Cricetulus griseus: one gene and its partners. The protein of the gene in region 4 purifies or fractionates together with the protein of the main gene of each other region. This does not show direct contact. Links are inferred from orthologs where the notes say so. Each region holds a gene or a part of one and is shown on either strand. Other genes may lie near its edges. The genes, in order: Mier2, Znf217, Arid4b, Hdac2, Sp1, Pml and Trps1.

Region 1 (4,025 bases), on a different chromosome or scaffold from region 4:
AGCTCTAGGTCCTCAGAGAACCTCAGTGGTGAAGCATTCATCCCTCGAGAAGATGAAACAAGCAAACTACAGCCCAGAGACATCAAGATACTTATTTAGCAAGGACTCCAGAAGCCCCTCCCCTCAGCCAGGCCCATCTACTCTGAAGCACTATCGAAATACAGCACCCTGCCATGCAGCAAAGGGGTGGTGGGAGGCGCGGGGTGCATCCCCCTGGGAAGAGGTGCCAGTAAGCCCCCAAGGTTCAGGAGTGACCATAGCCCAACTAGCTTTTGAGGTGCCCCCACTTGGAGGCAGAGAGCTGAGGAAGATGAGGAGGCAGGTCCACCTGGGACAGCCGCAGGGCCTGGAGGCAAGGAAGAAACATGGCATTCGGGCAGGCTGTCAAGCATCTTACACTCTGTAACTGGTGTGGTGTGGCGAAGCGTCCTAACCTTGGAACACAGGCTACCAGACCCACCGGCCAATGTGAAGGCACTGGGAGGCTGCCCTAGTGTCCTTGGAACCATGCCCAGGGACTGTCCCTTTGTCCCTACAATCAGGAGCCCTAACTAAGAGGGGGGACACCAAAGGGCACCACAGTTGCACAACTGGCCAGCAACAGTCCCACAGCTTCTTTATCCAGACAGAATGAGAAGACCCTCCTGCTTTAGGCCAGGGGTCAACCTAAATAGGGGCTCAGGCAGAAAGGCTCTGAGAACACAACAGTGGTAGATGCAGCCAACTGAGAAACCACACAGCCTGCTCCTTGCCAACCTGGCCAAGTCCATCTCCAGGTGATCCTCAAAGTCCCCAAGACTGACTGACCAAGGCATACATATAAACATGGTCACTGGAAAACCAGCACATCACTTTAATGACACTTTAAAGGGTGGGTTCCAAGACCCTATTTCCCCACATCAGGAAAGACAAAGGCCAGCCCTCAGATCTCTGTGGCAGGAGGGAGGTTAGCCTTAAGATGATCCAGGTGACAACAGGACAAACACATTAGAGGCTGATTCCCAAGGAAGAGGCCAGAGGCAAGTGGGCCCCCAGCAAGGTCTCTGAGAACAGAGGATGCAGTGGGTTGGCATGGACACCATCACCCTGACTTGTCAGAAGCAGGGACACAGTGCCGGCAGCCCCTCACAGGCAGGTTTCCCAGTAAGATGCAGGGGACGCAGCTCTGGAGGCTGGGTCCCAGCATTCCATCTAGCATCTTTTGAACGACGGTCGCCATGAGAAAGCCCAAGTCCTGCAAAGACCTCATGTATGTGTGACAGCTGACATCCCCACGGGGGAGGAGCCTCAGCATTAACTCCAAGCCCAGCCAGTTACCTACAAATGGCAAGCCACAAGAGTCCCAGTGAACCACAAGAAGTATGAGAGGCCAGAACAAACGAATACTTAAAGAGCAAGACTCAAGAGAAAGGACCCACATCCACACCCAGGCAAGGGTCCCTGTGCCCCTGGTGCCCCAGCCTCACCCTTCCACTGTAGCAGCAGCTAGGCCATCCTGAGAGACGGGTTCAGCCTGTCTCCACCCACATGGAGCTAGAACATGGGACAACAAATTGATGGGGGCTCAACCAAGACAGAGGAATGAAGAAAACAAGGTGGAGGCTGGGAAGCTGGGGTCAGAGACGGGACAACTGGCAGGCAGCTCCATGGGAATTCAGAGAACTAGAAAGAAACCCAGGGGGTAGGTGGTCTCATGAGGACCACAGTGGGTAGGCACAGTGAAAAGATGTAGCGAGACCAGCCACCTGTGAGACACACGCTAACCAAGCAGCTGACAACCAAGGACTGCAAGATGCCCACTTTCAAGAGTTAAAAATATATGAACCCCGCCACAGGAGCAGAAGACACATCAGGATCCCACCGACCCTCTCAGCTACGGGAAGATACTACCCGGCTCCCTCAGAGAGGAAACTGAGGCCGGCACCTTCTGAATCCTAGACTCCAGGACAGGATGTAGGCACAGTCTGGGAAGTCTCCACCCAAGCCACCCAGGGCAGAGCAGCCTCCCCGGAGCCCAGGAGCCACCACTCAGCCACCATGCCCGAAAGCATGCCCGTCTTGTTTCATTAGGAGCCCGAAAGAGCCCTCCGGATCGAGCAGCCAGGAAGACACCACGGGGCCCCCGGAGCACGGCCCTGTGGCCCACGCGCGGGCCTGTTGCTACCCCAGCGGCCCCACTCGCGCACCGTGCTGAGTTCCAGTCCCGCAGTGGCGGGTTCGCGGCGCCTCGGTGAGGGCTGGTCCCGGGGCTCAGGGGCCGCACTCCGCGGTGCAGGTGAGCGCGGGGCTGAGCCCAGCAGCCCAGCAGCCCCGCGCCCGCGGGGAGGCCCGCGCCCGAGCTCCCACAGCCAGACCAACTCCACGCGCGAAACTTTCCGCTCGCAGAGCGCCGCGGACTCCGCGCCGTGCTCACCCCAGCACGCCGGGCTGCAGTCCCTGCGTCGCCGTCCCGGCCGCCAGCGCCGCCTGCCCGCCCACCCCGTCCACGGCGCCCTCCGCCGCGCGGCCCCGGGTCTCGGCCAGGCACCCGGCCGCCCGCGCCTCGCGCCCCTCCCCCCCGCCCGCGCATGCGCACCGTAGCTGAGATGGGGGGCGGGAGCGCCCACGGGGCTCCCGCTCCGGCCCGGGGCTGGTAGGGAGGCTCGGAGCGCTCGGGGTGGGAGAGCACGGGCCGGACCAGGTCTACCCAGGGCGGCGTGTGGGAGGGGCCGCTGCCCAGCCGCTCACTCACCTCCGCCATGGCCGAGCGTGCGCGCGGGAGGCGGCGGCCGCGAGGGTCCCCGGATGCGGTGCCGCGCGCTTATTGGCGGAGGCGCCGGGAGGCGGGGTGGGGCGGGACGCAGGAGGCACGTAGTAGGTGTGCTGGGGCGGAGCGGAGGTATATAGCCTCAGCCCTGTATGTCCCGCCCTGGCATCAGCCAAAGGGCTGATTCCTGTGTGCATGCCCAGCTACCAGGCGGGAACTGTCCACAGATGAGGGAGATGGAGCAGAGGTGAGGGACATGGCGCAGAGGTGAGGGACTTGGCGCAGAGGTGAGGGACATGGAGCAGAGGTGAGGGACATGGCGCAGAGGTGAGGGAGATGGCGCAGAGGTGAGGGACATGGCGCAGAGGTGAGGGACTTGGCGCAGAGGTGAGGGACATGGCGCAGAGGTGAGGGACATGGCGAAGAGGTGAGGGAGATGGCGCAGAGGTGAGAGAGATGGCGCAGAGGTGAGGGACATGGCGCAGAGGCGCAGAGGTGAGGGACATGGCGCAGAGGCGCAGAGGTGAGGGACATGGCGCAGAGGTGAGGGACATGGCGCAGAGGTGAGGGACCTGGTGCAGAGGTGAGGGACCTGGTGCAGAGGTGAGGGAGATGGCGCAGAGATGAGGGAGATGGCGCAGAGGTGAGGGACATGGCGCGGAGGTGAGGGACCTGGCGCGGAGGTGAGGGACCTGGTGCAGAGGTGAGGGAGATGGCGCAGAGGTGAGGGAGATGGCGCAGAGGTGAGGGAGATGGCGCAGAGGTGAGGGACCTGGCGCGGAGGTGAGGGACCTGGCACGGAGGTGAGGGACCTGGCGCGGAGGTGAGGGACCTGGTGCGGAGGTGAGGGAGATGGCGCAGAGGTGAGGGAGAGGTGCAGAGGTGAGGGGGCGTTGATCTAGAAGTGACAGGTGACATGGAACGGTCCACAAGGAAGATGTTCCACAGGTGGCGGGCCAGTCTACCGATGGGGGTTAGGGGTTGGAATGAGTGGATGGTCTGGAGGTGAGGGCTGTGGTCCAGAGGTGATGGGGAATGGACAAGAGGTGAGAGGGGATAGTCCAGAGATGAAGGATACAGCCACAGGTGGGTGGTGGAGGGGGTGGAACATGGTCCTGAAGTGAGGGGAAATGGTCTAGGGATGAGAGGGGGTGCTGCTGAGGTGAGGGATACAGGCCAGGAGGTAGCGAGCAGGAGCACATGGGAGCCTCAGGAACAGACCTGATGTCAGGTGGGGCAGTCAGAATGGGAGACACTTGGAGACACACCTGGGTTTGCA
Region 2 (3,500 bases), on a different chromosome or scaffold from region 4:
TAGGGCTTCTGCACAGTCAACACACTGGGCGACTCCACCTCCCCAGGGCTCAGGAAGCGGGCTTTGGGGAGCAGCACAGGTGATGGGCGCACACACTCTGATGGTAACAGCGAGGTGATACTCCTGGCCACGTGGTACTTGGGGAGCTCAAAGCCCCTCCTGCCGTTGGGCCCAGAATGTTCTGTGTCCAGGGCCATCACACTGGATTTGAGTCTTTTAGGATGTGGTTCAGTGAATTCTGCTGTGGCACTGCCAGCATTCCGATGGCAGTAGTAGTCTCTCCCTTGTGGCACCCACGGGCCATCAACCTTCACAGAATACTCGATGGAGCCATTGCCATTACTACTGCCGAGGGGGGACTGAGATGGGGCAGTTGGCGGGGCCTTGAGCTTCGGCTCGGGTCTCTTCACCTTATCTGCAGCAGCAGAGACACTGCCACCTTTGGGAAACAGATCTGACTGCTGCTGCCTGGTGGCCCCAGGACCCCCGGTACTAGGCTGTGACCTGTGTGACTTCAGGTTACTTGGGGCTAAAGTGCTGCTGTCTGGCCCTGATGTCTGGGGAGCTTTGCCTGGCCCCGAGGAGCCCTGTCGGACCTTCTCTGGGTGCAGGGACTTGGCCTGTGATGAGAAAGCAGGCTTGACCTTTGGCTTGTGCGGGCCAGACAAGGGAGGCACATCTTTGCCCAGCAAGGCAGGAGGACAGCCTGTCCGCCGGCTCCTGGACACTGACTTGCCACAGTTCTTGGGGGTGTCAGGGTGCCACCTGTGCTCCAGTCTCTGGTGCATCAGCAGAACTTCTGGATAAAAGGTCTTAAAAGTACAAAAGGGGCAGGAGATGCTAGGAATGAGACACTTGTTAAGGGTGATGGCAGGAGAGGCGTGGAGTGGCCCAAGGGACAGATTCAAAGGACTGTCCTGGCAGTCAGCACCAGGCTTGTATTTGCAGTCAGCCTCCCACTCCATCTTCTCCCTATGGGCAGCTTCCCGTGCCAGGGGCCCAGCCCCCTCTAGTTTGCAGGCAGGGCTGCTGGCCTGAGGCTCGCCTGCTGCTCTCTTTTTCGTCATGTCCAGATAAGCAGGGGCAGGACTCTTTCGCACTTTCTCGCCATCATCGGCTGTATGTTTATGGAAATCCTGAGTATCCTTGTGTGCTGGTGAGAGGACAGTGCTGCCCAAAACACTCTGGAAAACAGACGGCATCTCCTTAAGCTGCTTGGCAGATGGGTTGCCCTTAACATCTTTGGCACCATCAAGAAAGCGCTTTAAATTTTTGGTCTGCACACTGTCGGCAGTTAGTAGTGCTTCCTGGGGCTCCTGGCTCCGGCCTTCGCTTTTGACCTCAGCCGCAGCGTCCACCAGCTGCTTGTCCTTGTGATGTCTCTCTAAGTGGTATCTCAGAGATGTCTTCTGGGCTGCGGCATACTCACAGAATTCACATTTGTACGGTTTTTCACCTAGAACGAGATAAGCCAGTGTAAGATGATGTTTAGGAAAGACATCAATAAACTCTGCAAGCTAGCCAAGCCATGACACAAACCATGGGCTGCTCCCTATCGACCAATCTTCGTATCTATCTAGGACAGCTCACGCCCCAGTGTGCTCAACACTCACTTAAACCTGTCTTTCCCAGGAAAAGCTCACGGCACGCTTTTACTGAACTGACCTTCACTGCTGCCCGATGGCAGAGTCTGCACATTTCACAGCGAAGGAAATAGGAGCACGGGGATTGTTATCAGTGCTCCCAAGCCACAAGGCAGGCTCACAACTTCCTAACCCACGCTACTGCTGCACCTTCATCCAAACATCAACAAATACACCCTCTCTTCATTCCAAAATCATAAAGCGGTTTTGAAAGAATGTGACATTAAAAATATTGCAGGTTTGCCTTAAGATGAGAGCCAGAATATGGCAGCCGTAAACCTCAAAACGTAAGCCTCAAAACGGGACCCAGTGTTCGGGCTGCTGCCATGTTAGAGGACACAGCACACACTTAAGCCATCTGAACCACAGAGCAGCACATAATAGTTTCAGCTAACACATGCTTTAAGAATCAAGCCCTTTACCTGTATGCGTTCTGAGATGAATATTGAGGTAATAGTTTGAACGGAAAAACTTGCCACAGTAACTACACTCTCTCGAGGACGTGAGGGGCTTTGCTTTTCCTCCATCATCATTTTTATCTTAAAGCAGAAACAAAAACATTTGTGTAAGTCAGACGAAGCACATGATTCAGACGTGTGGACTCTGGTATTCTTGACACAAAACATTTGGAAAAAACCATAAAATAATTTATTTTAGTTCTGGGTAGAAGTTTCAAAGGCTAAAATAACATACCAAATGCCATAAGGCAGTATTTCATATCTTACACTGTGTGCTTTTGTTTTTTGTTTTGGAGACAAGGTCTCAGTCTATAGCCCTGACTAGCTCCGGTCTCAGAAACCCTCCTGTCTGCCTCCCTACGGTAGGGATTAAAGGTGTGTGCCCAACACTACACTCTGTTCTTCTATGTTCAGAGCACAGCCTGGTGCCCTAGCATACTCAGGGTCTGCACCCTAAATCACCACAATGACATTTGACAGACAGAACCTGACATGTATTGAACCTGGTTCATACTTGCGTGGACATGCCCACTAGCCAGAGAAACCTCATTACTCAGAACCAGTAATTTTATTTGGAGGCAGAAAATAGCTTGAAATTAAGGAAGTTACCACTAGGGGGCAGCAAGCTCAAAATAACTTCAACAGTAAACCCTGGCTTGGCTTTGGGCAAGTACCTAAGAAAGTTGATCAAAATTTAGCCAAGTTTGGGAAGGTGGAGTTCATGGTTTCCAAGCAATCTCGTGGGCAAAACAAACCAGGCTCATTAGAATCTACCGGAAAGGCAAGGCTGAAGTGCCTGGTGTGCAGGACCACCAGAGACAGGAGCCAACTAAAGATAAAGAGGGCTAGGGTTTCACTCTCACCAGCTCACCAACTTGAAGGTATAAGACTCCCCCCCTCCCCCCAGTGAGTTTCTAGCCTTTCCAGCATAGCCACCTCTTGCAATCTAGCCATCAGGGCCATGAGGCAGGTGTGGTCCATCACAAATGCACAGGTCCCACCTGGGTTCAAGATGGCATATTTAAACTGGTCATTTTGCCTTATGAAACTTATTTCCAATTACAGGCCTCGTTCTTCCCTGTTCTGCCACAAGCTACCTTCTCACTAATTTGCAAAAGTGGTTGGTCCATATACCTGGGTAAGAGCAGGTGTAATGAATGGGTCTATGCCATCTCCATTTACACCAAATCCCCACCAGGAAAAGAGATCCGTATGACAACTCCTGGCCTAAAATGGTACCAGAGATGGTGAAAATACTTCAGACTCTCTGACCTTCTTGAAAGTAAACCTGAAACAAACTGGCTGACAGCACAGTGGATGAAGCCCTTATAGTCCCACTGCATTTACAGCTAGGCTCACAGCTTACCCAGTCTCCAGCTGTGTCAGGGTGTATAGACTG
Region 3 (4,235 bases), on a different chromosome or scaffold from region 4:
TCAATTTGGTATAACCCTTTCAGAAAAACATTTACATTCTAAGATATGTCAGGCAGGCATTATAATGGGAACTGTGACAGATTATAACATTCCGAAAATGTATTCATCTTCCAAATTTATTAAACATGTATCAGTCAACTTAAAATTTTTTCCCAAGTTTTCATCAAACAGCAAGGCAATTACATGCTTTTCCTAAAAACCTGACCTTTTCCTAATAAACTCAGTTTTCACTCAGGTTATACACCTATGACTAAGAAGAAAAGGGTTTCATCTCTGACATATCACTGGTTATGTTTTCATTCACATGAAAGTAAGACAGGAACTCAGTAAACAAAAACCAAGCCATCTACAGAGCCCTAAACTTGAAGAAAAACAAACAAACAAAAAAAAAAAAAACACCTTTAAAAATGGGCTAACCTGCTTTGTACAATAAGCAAATATTTAAGTGGCAAGAGCATTTATATTCTTTTATAAACAGAAGATGGGGGGGAGGGTGGCACCTGCCTTTAATCCCAGTACTTGGGAGGCAGAGACAGGCAGATCTCTGTGAGTTCAAGACCAGGCTGGCCTACAAGGGCTAGTTACAGGACAGTCTCCAAAGCCACAGAAAAAGCCTGCCTCAAAACCCCCTCCCCCGCAAAAAAGAAGCTTTTGAAACTCTACCTGGATGCAGTCCTACAAAAGAAATTCTCACTCTGGAGATAAGAGAAAATAATTTTAACAAAAGAAGAAAACAACCCAAAAGAACTGTCAAGAGTAGATGCCATTTGCATTCTGACATGTTATCGGTTACATTTCAATCGGGTAAACACACACTACTAACGTTTTCAAGCACATCTTAATTTGTATAGATTCAAAGGAAAAAATATTCTAGTATCAAGATTCAACCAGTTAAATCTAGATATATCAGAAACCCAAATCTTTTCATGCCACTGGAATTAAAAAAAAAAAAAAAAACTTTACAATTTCCTAAAATGACAAAAAAAAAAACACCTGTATTTTTATTGCCATGATTTATTCCACCAATTCACAAACTAGTTCTTAGACACATTTCTTAGAAGCTATTCTGCGGTCAACATATTTACTTAGAGGAACCTGGCCATCAGTTTTCCACACAACACATCACAGCAGAGCACGTGACAACTCCAAGAAAAATGAACCACACAACCCTTAGTCCCTGGAAATACAAGGTGCAACAGGCCAAATAGATCTCTAAAGGTAAAGAGCAACAAACTGCTAAAGATAAAGAGCAACAAACTGCTTCAAACATCTTCAAAAATTTTTTTTGCTTAAAATTCATGGCTCTGAGACACAATCAAACGAAATTTTCTTTCATCGGCATTAACAGACAGACCCACTGTATAGCAGTACTGTTTGTTTCAAGAGTCAGGTTACTAGACCAGCTTTCTGTTTTATGAATTAAGACGCTTTAATTCGTTCAGTTGTTCCTAAGGTTCCATGCAAAAGGCGCTCGCTGTTCTATTCCGGAGCCGCACAGCTTTGGTGACACAGTCTCCTAACTGACTCCACAACTCCACGACACAGCCCGTGGATGTTCGCACCAGCTGACCCTCTGTCTCCAGGGAAAGCTCCTCACTAAGCCACTCCACACACCTGCCTCTGCAAAACTCGCAGGCCCGCCACAGACACGGCCCCTACACTTCCTGAATTCGAAAGCCACTCAAGCTGCTTGAGTGACGCCTTACCTTCATGGTGACTCTGGGGCCGCGATCCCCACGGCGACACCAGCTTCACCTGCACCTGGAGGGGAAACAAAGACACCCGGTCAGTACCACCGGCACCCCCTGCGCCGTCGGGGCGGGGGCGGCACCGAGTGGGGCCAGGAGCCCGAGCAGGCACGCGCCATCCCAGAGCCCTTACCGCCCCCACCGCCCTCCTCTTGCCGCCCCATTGTCGCGACTCCACGGACTTTTCTCCGTCCTCCACGATGACGCCATTTCTGTCAGAAGAAAACTCACAACAAGCGCAGGGTCCGGCGCGGCCTGGAGCGCGGCTGCAGCCGTCCAAGCCCACGGAACCGCGATGCCCGGAACCCCGGGGCTGAGCCCTGAGTGAACCGGTGGGCCCTCGGGCTGCGGCGGCTCGACCCCACAGAGCCCGTCCGCGTCCCGCCCGAGCCCGGGCCCACAAGTGGGAGCCGGGGCCGGGCACGGGCACCGAGGACACCCAGTTCCCAGCCCCACGGGCCGAGGCCGCGGGGCCCACGATGCGGCCAGGGAAGGGCGGCTCCGGCTCAGCACCGCGGGGGGCGGGGGTCCCGGGAGGCCGAGGCGCCGCTGCAAGAGACGACTCAGCCCCGATGCCATCTGCCCCGCTGCGCGGCCCGGCCCGGAGCTTCCCCCACGAAAAATAATGCCCCTACCTCCGGGGCAGACGAGGTCTGAGGCGTGCGGCCGGAGTCCCCCCGCTCCGCCTCCCCCCCCAACCCCCCAACACCAGCAGGCCCAGGGGAGAGATGGCGAAGAAGCTGCGGGTCCGCCGGCGGCCGGGGCTCCGGCTCCTCCTCCTCCCGTGGCGGCGACTGGTACCTTTGTTTGGCGGCCGCTCCGGCTCCCTCGCGGGGGGAGGGGGGCGACGAAAAATCCCTCCCAGACGGAGGTCCGGGCCCCGGTCTCGCTGCCCTCCCGAGGACCGCGGCGGCCGACCTTCTGCGGCTCCCTCCGGGCAGACGTCCAGGCGGTGGCCGCGGCGGCGGCAAGCTGTGGCTGGAGACTCTCCCTTCGCTCCGGCGCCCGTGCTCCTCACTCCGGACTCGACTGACGGGCAAACATCGCTTCCCCCCACCCCGGCCCCCCTTTCCCTTTCTCCCCTCCCCTCGGTTCTTTTCCCCTCCCCTACCTCTTTCCCGGATGCCTCTCAGACGATCTAGGATTGGCTAGGATTCTTCGGAGCCCGCCTCTTCCAAGTTTTTATTGGTTTGAGCGATGCAAACAACGACGCCATTTTCCCACCAGTTCTATGGAAACAGAAAGTTATGCCTCGATACTTCCTGGGATTTGTAGTCCACTCTTCCGAGCCAATTGGCAAACTCTCGGACATAAGAACTACCAAGACCGCAATGCCCCTTGCCTGAGTTCGACGGGAGCGGGGAGGGGAAGGGGGCGCGGCCATAAGGTAGAGGGGAGGTGGCATACGACGCTTGCGCAGTGTGACAGGGATGGCGTATTTTCTTGCACCGAGTAATGCGGCGGCGGTGGCCGCTGAGGAGGGCGGAGATTTCTGTGGTGAAGTAGTGGGAGGGCTCCAAGGAGGTCTCGCGAAGAGCCGCGGTCTGAACTAAAAAGTGAGAAGTTGATGTGGGTACTGCTTGTCTCGGACCGGCGGCTTGAAGTCTGAGATCATCGTGGAACCGTGAGCAGCGGCAGGGGGGGACCCGGATGGGGAGCGGGGGAGGGGGTACCGAGGAGGAAGAAGAAAGGAGGGAGAGGACCCGGATGCTGACCCGGATCGGGGTGACTAGCGACCGGGTGGTGGGACGCGTGGGAGGCAAAGGAGCTCCGAGGAGTGGAAGGGGGTACCGATGCGGCTCAGGGGAGAAGCCCGCCTGCGAGCTTATTACACCGCTGCCCGTGTCGAGCCCTTTTCCCCAGAGCTATCATTCCCCCGGCTTGGAGTGAAAAGATCTTGCTGTGCGCGTCTCAGCTGCGTTTCTTGGTAGCCCCTATCTGTAGCTAGTTTCAAGTCAGAGCCTGCCTATTAAAAAATAAATAAATACTCTGCATGGAATTTTCAATATTTGTATGCGTGCTGATGCGCTGATTTTATCCTCTGAGATGTTAGGAGAAGGTCAGTCATCTTAATGGAAAGACGAGATGGACCGTGTACAACTTCCTGAACGCGTCTGCTCAGACAAAGTGAAGCGTGATAGGAGGATGTGGATTAGAACTTTGGCTCAGGGAAGTATAGAGCGGTTTTCCTGAAGGAGTGAGGACAGAGCTTGACTCAAGAAGCCAGCAGAAGAGCCTAAAGGAAATGAGAGCCCAGAAAGAACATGCTGGGAACCCGTTTCAGGAGAAAGCTTTGCCAGTATGATGAGGAAGGTTGGTTAAGGAATTTTGATCCAGCACCCTGGAGACTGAAGCAGGAGGATTACTGTGCATGGTAGGCCATCCTAGACTACACAGGATGACCCTGTCACCAGAAAGAAAGAAAAAAAATTAAAACAGGTTTAATCTGTTCTAATGGCCCAGTGAACAATAGGATACGTTGGATTC
Region 4 (3,500 bases):
CAGGCTGCCCTCTGTGACCCCACCGGAAGCAAGAGAGAGCCACCTGTCCCGACCCCAGACCTAAACCCACCCATCATGTCTGCACCTGTGACCACATCTGTTTGAGTGTGGTCAGCGCTACAGGTGTGGGGTGGATATTTCACTGCAACGCTCAGCATAGATCATCAGTGAGTTACCGTCTTGGGGTCTGGTTAACTCCAGTGTGTGATGCTTTGTTGATTTTTGTAACCTTTTCATAACAAAGTTTAAAGTAATTTGGAAAAAATTAAAATGACATAAAGAAAAAAGATCACCATTAACTAAGGGAAGTTTATTTTTATGTTTAATTAACTGTTTCCTTCATGTAATTGTCAACTGGCATCTCCTGCTGGAACAAGTGTTTCTGATAGAACCATGTGGACATTTGTGAGGACAGAAGTTTCTATGCAGACTACAGGAACAGCAGCAAAACAGCATCCCATACTACCACCCAGCCCAGGCCAAGTAACCATAAAGGGATTTTATAAAATGAAGGCTAGAACCCCAAAGAGGAAGAAGCATGGAAAAAACAATTAAGTGGAGCAAGTTGGACATCAGGTGGCTGACTTCACTAGGCCTGAGAGAATGTAGCTGAGGCTAGTCGTAGGAAAGTGCATTTATTCTAAGTCTTAAAATGGAATTACAAACATCCTTATGTGCTTTACACAAATGAACTTCCTCTACCTTCTGAAACACAACATATATATACTGTAAGGGTCAAATGCAGTTTATAATGAAAACTACTACTTTTAAATATAAACACTAGAAGTGGGGTTACTGCTCATTGCAGTGTATAAGTTGCTAGCACCAAGAAAGAAGGGCACATCAGACAGGTCACTTCAGGGAACTCCTATCTGCTTTGACACTAAATGGTTAGTAACACTTCTGAGGCAACAACTTGACAGTGCTGCTAACTGAATGCTGACCTACCAAGAAAGTGGGCAACTAATTTTGTGTGGCCAACTCAATACACGCGAAGTAGGGTAACAGACTTATACCACAGTCCTAAGGCTGGTCTGCAGAGTGCAATCATAAGTAGTTGTTAACATCTATATTTAGTTATTTTAAAAGTGCTATTTTAGGATTCTTTACATCTTATAAGAGAATTCAAAGTAAGATGCCTTCATTTAAAGCTAATTGCTACTGCAAAGTTCACTTGGAAAAAAAGGACTTTACTGCAATATATGCAATGTGCATGACAAGCCATTTCTGATCCAAACATTAACTTTACTATGAAGGCTTGTTCTTTAAAAAGGTTTATTCTAAGCCAGGTGGTAGTGGCTCACAACTTTAATCCTACCACGTGGGAGGCGGAGGCCAGCCTGGTCTACAAAGAGAATTCCAGGTCAGCCAGGGCTACACAAAGAAACCCTGTCTCAAAAAACAAAAACAAAACAAACGTGTTCTGCCAGAGGTAACAACTAAGAGGGAAATGGAGAGCACACTGATCAGGGAGGTGTAGTAAAACAGAAGCAGAGGGCTCTATGTCCCACTAGACCCAGGAGGACACTTAGTTCAAACAGGAGGACCATTCTTAGGTCAGGGACGGAGCACCTGATACAGCTGAGCAGAATATATTTCCAAATTCAGTTTAGTAATGAGCAAAGAGGAAACTAAGCAAACAAAAAAGTCAGCAAAAAAGTGACTGGTGTGCTGCTGCTGTTTAGCAATGGCCATGGCCCAGATTCTTACAGCTATGAACAGATGTGGGAAGAGCATGCAGATCAGAGCAAATCCTCATCACTGTAACAGCAAACAAATTATTTAAAACTGATATAATGGATTAAAAACACTGACAACTCCTGTGCCAGTTAGGATGGCAACTAACTATTCATGGATAAATGTATAAACACAAATATGGCAACACAGGAAGGACTTGCTGGGAAACAAGATTACTAGTCAGCCACATAACCCCACCCCACCCCCCACAAAAGGGAAAAAAAATAGAAAAAAACAAAAACAAAAAACCCACTGAAAATACAACTACAAACCAGGTGTTGGTGGCACACGCCTTTAGTCCCAGCACTCAGGAGGCAGAGGCAGGTGGATCTTTGTGAGTTCGAGGCCAGCCTGGTCTACAAGAGCTAGTTCCAGGATAGCCTCTAAAAGCCACAGAGAAACCCTGTCTCAAAAAACCAAAAAACCAAAAAAACCAAAAAACCAAAAAAACCAAAAAACCAAAACAAAAAAACCCATACAACTACAAAGTTTGGCATCAAGTCATCAAGTTGGCAAGCAAAAAATAACAATGAGAACTTAAATTTTTTTTCTCAAAATACTTTTTAAAAAATGTGTATGTTGTACACCATGTGCGATGCCTGGTGCCTGTGGAAATCAAAGAGGGTGCTAGATCCCCTGGAACTGGAATAACATTGGGTCATGAGCCATCATGTGGGAGCTGCGAATCGAACCCAGGTTCTTAACCATCTCTTCAGCGCTCCACAGTGAGAACTTTCGTGGGAAGCAGCGCTTACCTTTGACAGTGAGATTGAAGCAGCCAAGCCTATCACCAGACAGTGAGTCTGCACCACACTGCAGCACCACAGCACTAGGCTGGTACATCTCCATCACTTTTGAGATTATCTAGACTCAGAACAAGACACATTAGTATCTAAGGATATTTTACAACTCCACTTTACTTTTGAAAGCAGTACTTACAGGCTTAAAAATTTGTCCATAGGACTCATCATCTATACCATCTCTCATGGGAAAGTTGACAGCATAGTACTTTCCTTTTCCAGCACCAATATCCTATAAACAAAAACAGATCTTAAGAGATTATTCCATAACAAAAAACTTGACTTAGTTTGAAATGATTAGAAGATCAAGCAACACAAATCTGAAAAAGGAAATAATAAAAAAAAAATAAAATAAACAGGTGTATGATCCAGTATTTGTAGACATACTTCCTAAGCTCTAAAGCAAGTTTTAGGGAAGAAACTTAACAGCATCATTCATTCAGTTAATACAAATAAAACACAAGTCTTGTAGCTTGGGCTGGCAGAAGGGCTGAGCAGGTAAAGCTCAATGAGTTTGATCCCCAGGACCCACCCACATGGCAGGAGAGAACTGACTCTTGCATGGTATCCTTTAACGTGCCATACTCATATCACTCCCAACACACAAAAACAAAGTAAAAAGTTCTTACAAACCTCAATCTGATTAGGTATGAAATGATTTTACAAGATGTAAAGGCAGACCCCACTTACTTCATCATTCTCAAACTGAAAGGTGTCCTATGACCCAGAACCATTGGTAAGGGAGGTCTCCAGAGCCAATACCAACCGCACCCTTTGCACCACCCTGGAGCCCTGTGACCACAATCCCAGTGAGGGTCCCAAAAATCAGTCTTCCACACAACCTACCAAGAAGCCCTGGGTCTATGTGGTCCTCTGTGCCCTTGATCCTGGATAAAGACCCTGTGTGGCCTCCCCTAATCCACAACCATCTGAGGACAGTGTGATATCCTGCACCCCACTGCT
Region 5 (4,071 bases), about 140 Mb from region 4:
CCCATCAACAGTCTGGAACTGTGGGATTACTTGATACTGAATATTAGGCATTACTCCAGGTAGACCTGTCAGAACTTGCTGGTTTTGTAAGTTGGGGGTAGCAGCCACAACATACTGCCCACCAGAGACTGTACGATTCTTGGAAGACTCGCTGCCATTGCTGCCATTGGTACTGTTGCCACTCTGTTCCTTTGAGGTAGGGGTAGCCCCAGAGGAGGAAGAGATGATCTGCCAGCCATTGGCACCCTGTGAAAGTTGTGTGGCTGTGAGGTCAAGTTCACCTGTGCCCCCTGACTGACTCGGACCCTGGGAGTTGTTGCTGTTCTCATTGGGTGACTCAATTCTGCTGCAGGTTGCTGCCAGCAGAGCCAAAGGAGATGGCTGGGATTCCTGGCCAGAAGAGAGGAAAGGAGTTAGTGGCACCCAATAGCCTGCCTAGGGGGCAGTATTCAACAGACAAACAGCAACAATGCAGGCATATAAAGAGCAAAAACCAGAAATAAAATGCTGACTTTTGTGTACTGTTCCAACTTTCTTATTTGGGGACCCTCTAGATCATCTATCTTTCTGTGTGTACTTCACTACTGTATTTTTTTTCTCCCAGCTTTTTGATTAAGGAACTTTCTAAGAATATTTACACCCTCAACACCTTCCCCACCTTTGACTGATCACTCACCTGCCCTCCTCCGACACCACTGCTGCTGCTACTGCCTGTGCTGCTGCTCCGAGTCTGAGAAAAAGATGCACCACCACCATTACCGTTACCCCCGTTATTGCCACCAACACCTTTTTCAATCTTCACGGCTGTCACTTCATCCATGGAGTGATCTTGATCTAAAAATAATTACAAAACAATAACTTAAAGTGGAAGAAGGAGAAAAAAAATCACCCAAAGGTTTAAAATAAGGCTCTGATAACCAGCCTAATGACTAATAGAATGTTTAAAAGCAGAGTAAAAAAGGAAATAGGGCCAGATATAGATATGGTGATAGGCCTGAAATCTCAGAATTTGGAAGTGGAGGCAAGAGGGACATGGAGGCAAGAGAAATAAGAGTTCAAAGAAATTTTCAGTTACATCAGTTGAGATGCCAGCATCTCATGCCAGGCATGCAGAACAGGCATGTGCCTCAATGGTGTCCAAGATGGGCCACTATTTCCCCATGTACAAAATTAAAGTCAAAAACCATTCAAAAAGCGCTTTGGGCTGGGCAGTGGTGGCGCACGCCTTTAATCCCAGCACTCCGTAGGCAGAGGCAGGTGGATCACTCTGAGTTTGAGACCAGCCTGGTCTACAAGAGCTAGTTCCAGGACAGCCTCCAAAGCCACAGGGAAACCCTGTCTTAAAAAACCAAAAAGAAAGCGCTTTCGAGCTGGATGGTGGTGGTGGCAGCAGTGAAGGCACACACCTTTAATCCCAGCACTTAGGAGGCGGAGGCAGGCAGATCTCTGTGACTTCAAGGCCAGCCTAGTCTGCAGAGTGAATTCCAGGACAGCCTTCAAAGCCACAGAGAAACCGTGTCTCAAACCCCCATCCCCACCCCCACCCCCCAAAAAAGTGCTTTGGAAGCCAGGCATGGTGACTCACACCTGTTCATCAGTTCTAAGTCTATCTGGACTAGAGTGAGACCTGGCCTTAAACAAGACAAATAGCATTTCTGAAAAAGGGAATTTGAGGGCAGTATCTCAGGAATACTAGTTGCCCCTAGTGTTGGCATGGCACACTCTGTAATCTCAGCACTCAGGAGGAAGAGGCATGAGGATGGCTAAAAGTTTAAGGCCAGCCTGGTTTTCATAGTACCACACAGACCCTGTCTCAAAAGTAAAAAAAAAAAAGCATTCTGGGAGGAAGAAGAGACCCAACATGTGGTTGGATGGAAAAATGTGCTAAAATTAGGATTAAGAGAGATGGAGAAAGACCAAGTGTAAAGCTAAATAAATAAAAACAGGAACAGACAGAGTACATCATAAGTACCGATAGGGACACTTCTGAGGATACAGGTAAGGGGCTAAAGTGGTCTAGGGCTTAGAACCCAGGTTTGGGGCTGAGAGGGCGGGCCTTAGAAGGAAGGGGCGTTTTCGGGGTGAGGGGCGTGGAAAGGGCGGGTCAGATGGGGGAAGGGAAATGTTCGGGGGTGCGGGGGAGGGCCTGGGGCAGGCAGTGACCGGAGGGCGGACCGGGGAGGCGGTTGGCCCAGGCGGGGCCTGCACTGGTCGGGCCGCCCCCGCGGCGCCAGCCCCCGACGGGAGGAGCCTCAGGCGGCAGGCCGAGTAGTGGGGGGTAAGGCCCGTCCCCCGTGGCCGGGGCGGGCAGGGGGCGGGCGAGGCCACGCTGCCCCCTCCCCCGGGGCGGGTGGCCCATCCCCCTCCTCCTCCGAGGCCCCGCGACTGCCCCTTCTCCCTCCCTTCCCTCCGCCCCGGGCGGGACCAAGGCCGCCGCCGCCGCCTCCCGCCCGCCCCCCCTCACAGCGGGGACCGCCCGGTCGGCCCTCGCGCGCGCCCCCTCACTCCCCTCCCACCCCTAGGCATGGAGTGGACTCATCCTTACCGCTCATGGTGGCAGCTGAGGGGCGAGCTCAAGGGGGTCCTGTCCGGGGGGGTTGGGGGGGGCCAGGAAAAACGCGGACGCTGACGAGGCAAGCGAACCCGGACCGGACAGGGAGGGGGGGTAAGGAGGAGGGAGCAGCGCGCCACAAGCCCGGCCTAGTCTCCGCCCCTTATCTGCTGCCCCGCCCAATGAAGGAGGGAGAAAGGAGAGCCTTGCAGTAGAAAGGCGGGCAGACGACCCAATGGGAAGACTCGTTCCCTCGCAAAGGCGGGTAAGACCAACTTGCGTGCTGGTGTCCGCCTTAAAAGGCCGCCCTCTCAGCTCTAACAGCCAATAAAAGCTTCAGGAAGTGAGAGTGGGCGGGACATAAGGAAGATCGACTTGGAGAGAAACCAGTGATTCGCCGGGCGGGCTCCGTGAACGGTGGTGATAGGACGAGCTTAGGAAGGAGTGACAGGACAAGGACCAATTAGAATCTTGAGCATGCCGGGGCAAAGTCCGTTTAGTAGGAGAGTAAGAAATAGGCCGGAATGGGATAGGATCAAGCTATCTAAACCAATCAGGATTCAGGCGGGCAGTTAAGAAAGTTCTGATTGGTCAATAACTGAGACGATCCGGAACAGGATGCATATTGACATGAGCTCACAGCCAATTAGACGCCGAATAAAAGGCGAAGGCTGGAACTTGGAATGGGGAGAGGAGACCTGGCTTCCTCCTCAGATACTCAGGCCAATGAGGGGAAGAAAAAGCCCTGGCACCGCCTCTAGCTTGGCCAATGGTCGTTTGTGGGGCCGCCCATCGTGAGGAGGGAACAGGGGCTGTGCCAAAAGGAGTTCGTCGCCATGTTGGCCCTGCTCGGGAGACTTCCTTACGTCGTTAGGTTGTACACTCCAGCTGAGCCCTGCAGCTCTACAAGTGTCCCTGCCGAGGCGGGCGAGCGCCGCGTGTTTCGCCACACGGGATCGCTCCAGTTTTCACATCTCGCACCCGACACCCTCTCGAATCCCACCCCTGCAGGGGTGGGTGGGCGGCTCCCCCTGGCCGTGGGTGGAAGCCCTGCGGCGGCGGGCGGGACGAGAGCTTGGTGACGGCCCTCGAGAGCTCAGTCAGTTCTGAGCTCACCAATATGGAAGGCTTTCGGGAAACTCTAGCAAACGCCATTTTCTTAAGCTGTCCCGAACGCGCTAAGTCGAGGGCCCAGAACTCTTTGAGACTGACTAGAAAACTTCCGGGATCAAAGCTCTCCTAAACTACTCCCTTTTCACTTCGTTACTCGTAAACACCGCTTCAGCAGAAAGCACAGTAACCTAGTTACTTCCTTTTGCAATCACAAAGGTTCACGATTTTGCCCCAGGCACTTCAATCCTCGGCTTCCATTTTGCCTCCAAAAACCTTTAGCACTTACAGTGAATACTACTAGCTGAATTCTCCTTTAGACAGCTTAAAGCACTTTGAAGATAGAAACTGAGGTATCTGCTGCCTCTGAGGTGGCCTAGGAAAAAATAAGTGACAGCTCAGTTATCTGT
Region 6 (2,780 bases), on a different chromosome or scaffold from region 4:
AGTAACTTACAGTGCTTCTCTTCCCTGCAGCCCCTAGTTCAGGCTAGTGTCCTGCCCCCGGCCGAGGCCCGCCTCTTGGCCCTCCACAATGTGAGCTTTCTAGAACTGCTGACTGCATACCGCAGCAACCAGCAAGAGGGTTTGAAGAGGTATGGCCGCTATCTGAGCCCGCAGACCTCTTCCTCATCGGCTTCCACCCAACTTGCTCAATACCTTCAGGCTCTGAACACCTACATGGAAGAACTGTCAGAAGGGTGTGCCCCAGCCAGGTCAGAAGGTAACTCTACTCTCTCTGGCCAGAGCTTGGCCAAAGAGGCCTCCGAGCAGAGCTGACAGAAAGGGATATCTGGCTTAGCCGGTAGCCACAGAGGGAGGGGCATCCTTGAGCCAGGCCCCACCCTTCACCACATTCCCAGGCCCTGCTCTCCAACACAGAGCTGTTCTTTAGTTCGGAATAGGTGCCCTTTATCTGGGACCAAACACTCTTTCTCTAAAATTCCTGCAGCAGACATCAAAGGCACCCCAGACCTAAGTCCTTCCTCTAGAAGACAGAATTAGGAAGACTTTACAAGGTGTGGCCTCTGGGCTCTCTGATTGGCCCTCATATGGCCCCAGGCACCTCACCTACAACTACCACGGGGGGCCTTGCAGCTCCTCCCTGATGCTCAATCAAAATGTCCCAAGTGATCTGCTGGTAGCTCCCACGAATAACACCCTCAGGCAGAGGTCCTCAACCTGCAGGTTGTGACCATTGGAGAACTCACATTTCTGGTGGTCTTAGGAACCCCCAGCCATAGCTGTAACCTTGCTGCTGAGCAGTGTCTCAATTGCTAAGATAATCAGAAATAAGTGTTTTCTATGGTCATGGCCCACAAGGTGAGAACCACTGCTCTAAGACAATGCTTACCACTATACCAGCAACCCCCTGGGCACCCAAAGTGCCTCTCAAACCAAATTGCCCTTCATGAATTTGGGTTCTCCCAGCTTCCACTGCCCAGAGACCAACTGTGCTCATGAAAAAAAAAAAAAACACTTCCATTCCAAAGGGGCCTTCTAGCATCAGAGAGCTAGAAGCTGTTGCTCCATCCATATCCCCGTTTCTACAGACTGACACTTCCAACTTTGTTCTTTGTTCATCAGGCCTTCTAACCCCCCTTGCACTCAGCCCTTTCAAGGGACACCCAGTAGGACACTTGCATCGAGACCTTTGGGAAGGTGGCTTTACCGAGGTCCCCAGAATCAGGCTGTCTGGAGTAGAGCCTGCAGCATTAACAGGTTCTCCGGGCAACGCTGTCTGCTCAGTTCTGAGCATCACTGCTGTCACAGACCACCTCCCCATCAAAGGGAAGTAGAGAAAACACCTGGCTGTGTACACTGAATATGATTAGGCCAGAGCTCTAGTGTTCTGTGAAATGAGCTGGCTGGCCTGCATTTTTATCTCAGAGTCCCCAGCCAGTTCTGTCATCCTGGTCTCTCAGTGTGGACAGCAGCTTGCTGGCGCAGCAGATAAGACCCTACCTCTCATGCCAAGCCACTGGTCCCCAACCTTATGATCATCTTGAACGTCAGCTTCCCTATGCTTATCTGAACTGTTGCTGGTGTTGTCCACCTCCTCACCCATTCCCTGCTTCCTGCTTCAAGGAATTTCCCAGATAGCCCAGAGGTCCGGTCTTGATAGGTTTGGTGGTCTCCACTTTCAAGTGAGCGATGCCTGCCCACACCTCTGACCCGTCCTGATGTTTGAAGGCATCCTGTAGAAGCCCATTTCTACCATGGTGAGACTGAGCTCTGACAGCAATCCATTAGAGCTCTGGTTCTGGGTGGGGCTGAGGATGTCGAGGAAAAGAGGCTAAGACCCTCGCCTGGCTATACAGGCAAGGCAGTGCTGGAGCCATGTCTCATACTGAGTCCCAGCCCCACCAGGCTGGCTGTCTTCAGTTTCAGCTGCTGCAGATTTATGACAAAGGGAGGAAAGAAGCCCTGTCCTGTCTGATGTTGCAGCCCTTATATGTGAATTTTTTTATTTTGGTTTTTTAAGGCAGGGTTTCTCCATGTAGCCCTGGCTGCCCTGGAACTCACTCTGTAGACCAGGCTAGCCTCAAACTCAGAGATCCACCTGCCCCTACCTCCCAAGTGCTGGGATTAAAGGTGTGCGCCACCACCAACAGGCTTATTCAGTAACATCATCATTATACCCACTGCCCAGGTGCCCAAGTCCCACTCTGGAGCTTTAATCTCTTAGTTTGACCTTTGACCAAAAATATCAAAGTTTAAATATGCTGTGTGTGCCATTTTCTTAAAAAAAAATTCTGTCAAGATTTATCCCACTACCACCAGCAACCATCAAAACCTTATTGGACTACAAGTTAGGGCACTGGAATTCAGTTCTTGGTAGCCAGTGGCCACAATGTGGCTGTTAACTCCCTGATTACAGGCAGCTCCTTTGAAAGTGAGATAAGGTGTATTGTATTTTACTTCATGAGGTCTTTGATAAGCTCAATGAGAAGATCAGTTTCCTGATCTTAAGGTCTTATTTCACAAACAAGATGAGAGTTAGCACTTTATAAGAAAGCCAACAGCAAATCTTAGCAAAATAGTAATATTAATACACACTATGTTGGGGCAGAGTGCCTAGGCCTGCAGGAGCCGATAAGAGTCTTGTAGCCTCTGAGCAATAGTTGACTCTGTGTTCCTTCCACACCCACTGGGAGAAGGACCTGGAGTAGAGAGCAGGCTTCCTGGAGCCCCTTGGCTCATCTCTATCCCAGCCCCTCTTTGGG
Region 7 (4,011 bases), on a different chromosome or scaffold from region 4:
CGGGTGCTCGGGGCGGGGCGGCGGCGGCGGCGGCGGCGGCGGCGGCGGCGGGGACGCGCCTGTCTCTTTAAGGGAGCTGGGTCTGGGGTGGCGCTTTCCTCCGCGAAGGCTCCTTTGATATTAATAGTGTTGGTGTCTTGAAACTGACGTAATGCGCGGAGAGTGAGGTCCTGACAAGCGATAACATTTCTGATAAAGACCCGATCGCGTTGCAATCTCTCCTCCAGCGTCCTCGCGCTCACCGCTGCTCGCTGCCTCCGGACCCCGCGTCCTGCCGATCGCTCCCTCGCCTCTGCCTATATTTTATTTTTTTAATTATTATTTTTTTTAAAAACAACAACAACAACAACAACAACAACAACAACAACAACAAAACCTCAACAACACCCCCTCCCTTCTCCCACCCGGCACCGGGCACATCCTAGCTCTATTTCCTTTCTCTTTCTCTCGCTCTCTCTCTCTCTCTCTCTCTCTCTTTTTTTTCCGGGGGGGGAGGGAAGGGAAAGGGGGGGAGGCAGGAAAGATCTTTCTCTCCCCCCCCCCAATAATCCAAGATCAACTCTGCAAACAACAGAAGACGGTTCATGGCTCTGGCCGCCGCGCCACCATCTTTCGGGCTGCGGAGGGTGTTCCTGACGATTAATCAACAGGTAAGGGGGAGCCTGGCGGGCGGGCGGGCGAGCGGGCGAGCGGGCGAGCGGGCGGGCCGGGGGGCGCGGGGCTCAGCCGGCCGGGGCGCCGTTCCGCCAGCGCTGCGCCCCGCGCGAGTGTGCGCAAAATGTGGGCGATCGCGAGCGGGGAGCCCTGGGAATTAAAAGTGACTTTCTTTGAAAAAAAAAAAAAAAAAAAAAAGCCCAGCCGAGGGAGAGAGAGAGAGAGAGAGTGTGCTGCAAGCAAGCGCAGGCTTCTCGGGTTTCACACGCATTTTTTTCTTCCTCCCCCCCCTTTGCGCGTGTGATTTCTTTCTTTCTTCTTCTCTTCTGTTCCCCTTCGTCCCCCCCCCCACAACACCAACCACCCCCCCCAATTCCTCTGCCCCCTTTGCTGGGTCTAAGGCATCTGAGCCTTGGAAACCAGAGAGACTTCAAACTGCAAGTAGCCCCCAGAGTCAGGAGGGTCAAGTTCAGCCGCCGGGGAGGAGGAAAAACAAATCCCGATTTGCCAAAAAAAGAAGTTTCAGGCCGGTGCCCCCTCCCCCCCCCTCCCAGCCCCACTCCCCCTCGCTGCTGTCTCTTGCTGGCTGATTTTAATTCTCTCCTACCGGGAGCAGCAGAGAATCTGGAGGTGGCTGGACCCGAGGGGCCGCCGCCGCCGCTGCTGCAAGTTTTCTGGGGGCTCCTGACAAACGGGGAGCAGACTGGGCACCGGCATGCAGAGTAGTAAGTTGGGTGAACTTGGCTGGGTCGGGAGGGTTTCCGAGAGGGGGTCCTGGAGTGGCCCTCGGAGTGGTAAAAAGAAAGAAAAAAGAAAAAACAAAAAACAAAACGGCATAGACTGCCTTTGGTTTTTCAAGAGTTTAGTTTGCAGAGCCAGGCTTCAAACTTTTTTTTTTTTTTTTTTTTTTTCTCTCTTAAAGGCCCAGCTGGGCTACAGGGAGAGAGGGATTGTGGCATCCCCTGGTGTGCCCGTCTCTGGGCAGCTCAGGGCAGCTCAGGGCAGCCTGGGCCCAGGGGTCTGTGCCCTGTCGGTACCATGAGGCAGGCAGGGCCTTGCAGCCAGGGAGCTTCCGTAGGGGCTGAGAAGGGGCAGACTTCCTCTGCGGTGCGGTTGATGCGCCATGTGTCGAGCGGGTCAGGGGACACTGGCTGGTGATTAAACGCCTGACAGCGGTGGGACATGCAGGCAGGCAGACAGGCTCTTTGCTCTCTGTCTAGTTCCTGTTTGGGCTGTAGAGTCTGAAACGCATCTTTGAAAGGCCAAGGCAAACACCTCTATCCCTCCAAATAACTCCAGGATTATAGGACCCCATGAATAATTTGAGGGGGAAGCCGAGGTGGAAGCCGTTTGAAGTGCAAAGCTGTTTTTGTGGCTGGAGAAGCTTTTTTTTTTTTTCTTTTTTTTTCTGTGAGTACCTGTCTGCGATGGTGGTGTTTTCCCCTTTCACCAGGGAAGTCACTAACTGTTTTACAGCGCCAGGACTCTAAAGCCATTGAAGTGAGGCGACCAGGGACCAGAGAGGACTTAACTGGGAATCTTGCTGGGGCTTACTACACTTTAGGACCTGGCTGACTTCCCCATATCTTTTTAGGCCTCACATTTGATCCTTTGAAAGTTTTTGAGTCAGAGCCATGGATTTAATGATGAATCCAAATTAAGATAGAGTATCCATCCTTATCCGGTTCTGGGAAATCACCGCTAGCGTTTTTTAAGCAAGGTAAGTGAAGAGAGAGAGGGGTCGAGCCGAGAGGTGAAATCAGGCACAAGTTAGGCCGATTCATTGAACTTTTCTAAGCCCTCCAGGTGAACAGGAAAGGGCCTGGAAGAGATAATCAGCACAAAGGCAAAAATACAGATAAGGGCCGGAGACAAGATTACAGAGAACTCATCATTCTAGGCCTTGTTGGCTAAATTTGATTGCTCAAGGGGGGGAAAAAAAGAACAGGGCTTAAGTCTTCAGAGTGTTGTAAACTCCTGAGCACAAACCCACCAGTCTCAGTCTCAGTCTCAGTCTCAGTCTCAGTCTCTCTCTCTCTCTCTCTCTCTCTCTCTCTCTCTCTCTCTCTCTCTCATTCTTTTCTGCAGGTTTTAGAAAGAGTTGGTCATGTAAAAAGGCTGTCAGGGTTAAAGATGTTAGGGACTGTCAGGAAAGTAATTGCAGCTAGCAAGCAGGTCCCTGACTGGGCAAAAAGAGAAGGAAAAGTCTCTAATCTCACAGCTGGGCAGCTTCTTCCATGCAGTTCCCTTGCTTCTGAGGCTCTCCCAGTTAGCGTAGCACTTGTGTGGAAAAAGCAAAGGTTCGAAAATAATCACCATGAGGCCGGCTTTCCCTCACTTTTCCTTTGCCCAAGTATGACAGGCTTGTGAATAAATACAGGGTTTGTATGGGAAGATGAAGCATTTCCTGTAAGTTTCGATGCTGACAGGACAGTCTGGAAATGATACCAACATTTGAGGGTTCTTTTTTTTTTTGTTTGTTTTAACCTTTGAGTGAAAGTTTATTAATGGCCTGCTCAAAGTTCACAACTTAAACTTATATGTTCATTGAGTTTATCCTTTGGTAGATTTCCTAACTTCCTTTTAAAAGCTGTACACTTGTATTGAAAACATCTCCAGTCAAGTTACATAGACAGGGCCGTGAGTGTGCTGGTTGGATGATTATTTCCGGGTTTTAGTACTGTGGAAACAACTGCAAAGGTGGGAACAGACTTACAGTGACTCTGTGCTGCCGTGATTTCTCCAAATGTAAGGCACTGGGAAGACCTATCAGTACAATACGGCAAACTACTACTTGCCTCTCGAGAGTGGATATTGGTGGCCTCCTGATGTGCCTTTGGTGTGTGAGCCTGGAATACTTTTCCAGGCATAATAACCAAGTCTGACACTCTCCGAATAACTGGTAGGAAGTACCTAGCAAAAAAAGTTTGTCACTCCGGAATTTTATATAGTGCTGCTGGGTTGCTCTTGTCCTTTGTTAGAGCTGACATGAAAGGTGTGGAGGAGAGCTGCCAGAGTGACTGTGACTCCTGAGTTGAATTCCGAGCTGCACACTTTGATTTCTAATATTGTGAACGATTTTGCAGAAATTTCTGGATACTTTCAGACAAACCCGTTTGGTATCCAAATTGGTGTGCATTTAATCACGAGTGACCTACATAGACCCTTACTTTGCTTTTGGCATCATTTTTGCTTTTCTTTTAAGTCCTGAATTTATTCTAGTTTCCACTGTAAGACTCTGCGAGATGCAGAAGGGAATATTCATTCATAAGAAAACCTTCCAAACACGGAAATGAGTGCCTCGTTGGGAATGCTGCCTTTAATAGCCTGGTATTTCAGTGGTGCTTTTACTAATAT

Evidence for each region.
Region 1: the proteins of Hdac2 (region 4) and Mier2 purify together in Homo sapiens (affinity purification with mass spectrometry; 3 studies listed by BioGRID and IntAct, counting the BioPlex papers as one, with this or other methods). This does not show direct contact. The link is inferred for Cricetulus griseus from reciprocal best matches to the Homo sapiens genes HDAC2 and MIER2.
Region 2: the proteins of Hdac2 (region 4) and Znf217 purify together in Homo sapiens (affinity purification with mass spectrometry; 6 studies listed by BioGRID and IntAct, with this or other methods). This does not show direct contact. The link is inferred for Cricetulus griseus from reciprocal best matches to the Homo sapiens genes HDAC2 and ZNF217.
Region 3: the proteins of Hdac2 (region 4) and Arid4b purify together in Homo sapiens (affinity purification with mass spectrometry; 4 studies listed by BioGRID and IntAct, with this or other methods). This does not show direct contact. The link is inferred for Cricetulus griseus from reciprocal best matches to the Homo sapiens genes HDAC2 and ARID4B.
Region 5: the proteins of Hdac2 (region 4) and Sp1 purify together in Homo sapiens (affinity purification with western blotting; 11 studies listed by BioGRID and IntAct, with this or other methods). This does not show direct contact. The link is inferred for Cricetulus griseus from reciprocal best matches to the Homo sapiens genes HDAC2 and SP1.
Region 6: the proteins of Hdac2 (region 4) and Pml purify together in Homo sapiens (affinity purification with western blotting; 3 studies listed by BioGRID). This does not show direct contact. The link is inferred for Cricetulus griseus from reciprocal best matches to the Homo sapiens genes HDAC2 and PML.
Region 7: the proteins of Hdac2 (region 4) and Trps1 purify together in Homo sapiens (co-immunoprecipitation; 4 studies listed by BioGRID and IntAct, with this or other methods). This does not show direct contact. The link is inferred for Cricetulus griseus from reciprocal best matches to the Homo sapiens genes HDAC2 and TRPS1.

The regions. Positions count from the first base shown.
Region 1 is NC_048598.1:100,337,989-100,342,013, forward strand, and holds the start of Mier2 (mesoderm induction early response protein 2), read right to left. Parts: upstream 2,801-4,025; 5' UTR 2,741-2,800; coding exon 2,732-2,740; intron 2,709-2,731; exon of another isoform or gene 2,576-2,708; intron 2,523-2,575; exon of another isoform or gene 2,414-2,522; intron 2,314-2,413; exon of another isoform or gene 2,187-2,313; intron 1-2,186. Other genes in the region: mucin-1-like, read right to left, coding at 2,801-2,862, 2,954-3,644. UniProt on the Homo sapiens protein: Transcriptional repressor.
Region 2 is NC_048599.1:9,219,970-9,223,469, reverse strand, and holds part of Znf217 (zinc finger protein 217), read right to left. Parts: intron 2,183-3,500; coding exon 2,066-2,182; intron 1,457-2,065; coding exon 1-1,456.
Region 3 is NC_048596.1:237,192,700-237,196,934, reverse strand, and holds the start of Arid4b (AT-rich interactive domain-containing protein 4B), read right to left. Parts: upstream 2,801-4,235; 5' UTR 2,550-2,800; intron 1,762-2,549; 5' UTR 1,713-1,761; coding exon 1,707-1,712; intron 1-1,706. UniProt on the Homo sapiens protein: Acts as a transcriptional repressor. May function in the assembly and/or enzymatic activity of the Sin3A corepressor complex or in mediating interactions between the complex and other regulatory complexes.
Region 4 is NC_048595.1:259,855,914-259,859,413, reverse strand, and holds part of Hdac2 (histone deacetylase 2), read right to left. Parts: intron 2,770-3,500; coding exon 2,677-2,769; intron 2,602-2,676; coding exon 2,493-2,601; intron 1-2,492. UniProt on the Homo sapiens protein: Histone deacetylase that catalyzes the deacetylation of lysine residues on the N-terminal part of the core histones (H2A, H2B, H3 and H4).
Region 5 is NC_048595.1:398,783,863-398,787,933, reverse strand, and holds the start of Sp1 (transcription factor Sp1), read right to left. Parts: upstream 2,801-4,071; 5' UTR 2,553-2,800; coding exon 2,546-2,552; intron 2,110-2,545; exon of another isoform or gene 1,973-2,109; intron 835-1,972; coding exon 677-834; intron 391-676; coding exon 1-390. UniProt on the Homo sapiens protein: Transcription factor that can activate or repress transcription in response to physiological and pathological stimuli.
Region 6 is NC_048597.1:169,821,363-169,824,142, reverse strand, and holds the end of Pml (protein PML), read left to right. Parts: coding exon 1-333; 3' UTR 334-2,280; downstream 2,281-2,780.
Region 7 is NC_048603.1:4,197,342-4,201,352, forward strand, and holds the start of Trps1 (zinc finger transcription factor Trps1), read left to right. Parts: upstream 1-1,211; 5' UTR 1,212-1,369; coding exon 1,370-1,379; intron 1,380-2,248; exon of another isoform or gene 2,249-2,374; intron 2,375-4,011. UniProt on the Homo sapiens protein: Transcriptional repressor. Binds specifically to GATA sequences and represses expression of GATA-regulated genes at selected sites and stages in vertebrate development. Regulates chondrocyte proliferation and differentiation.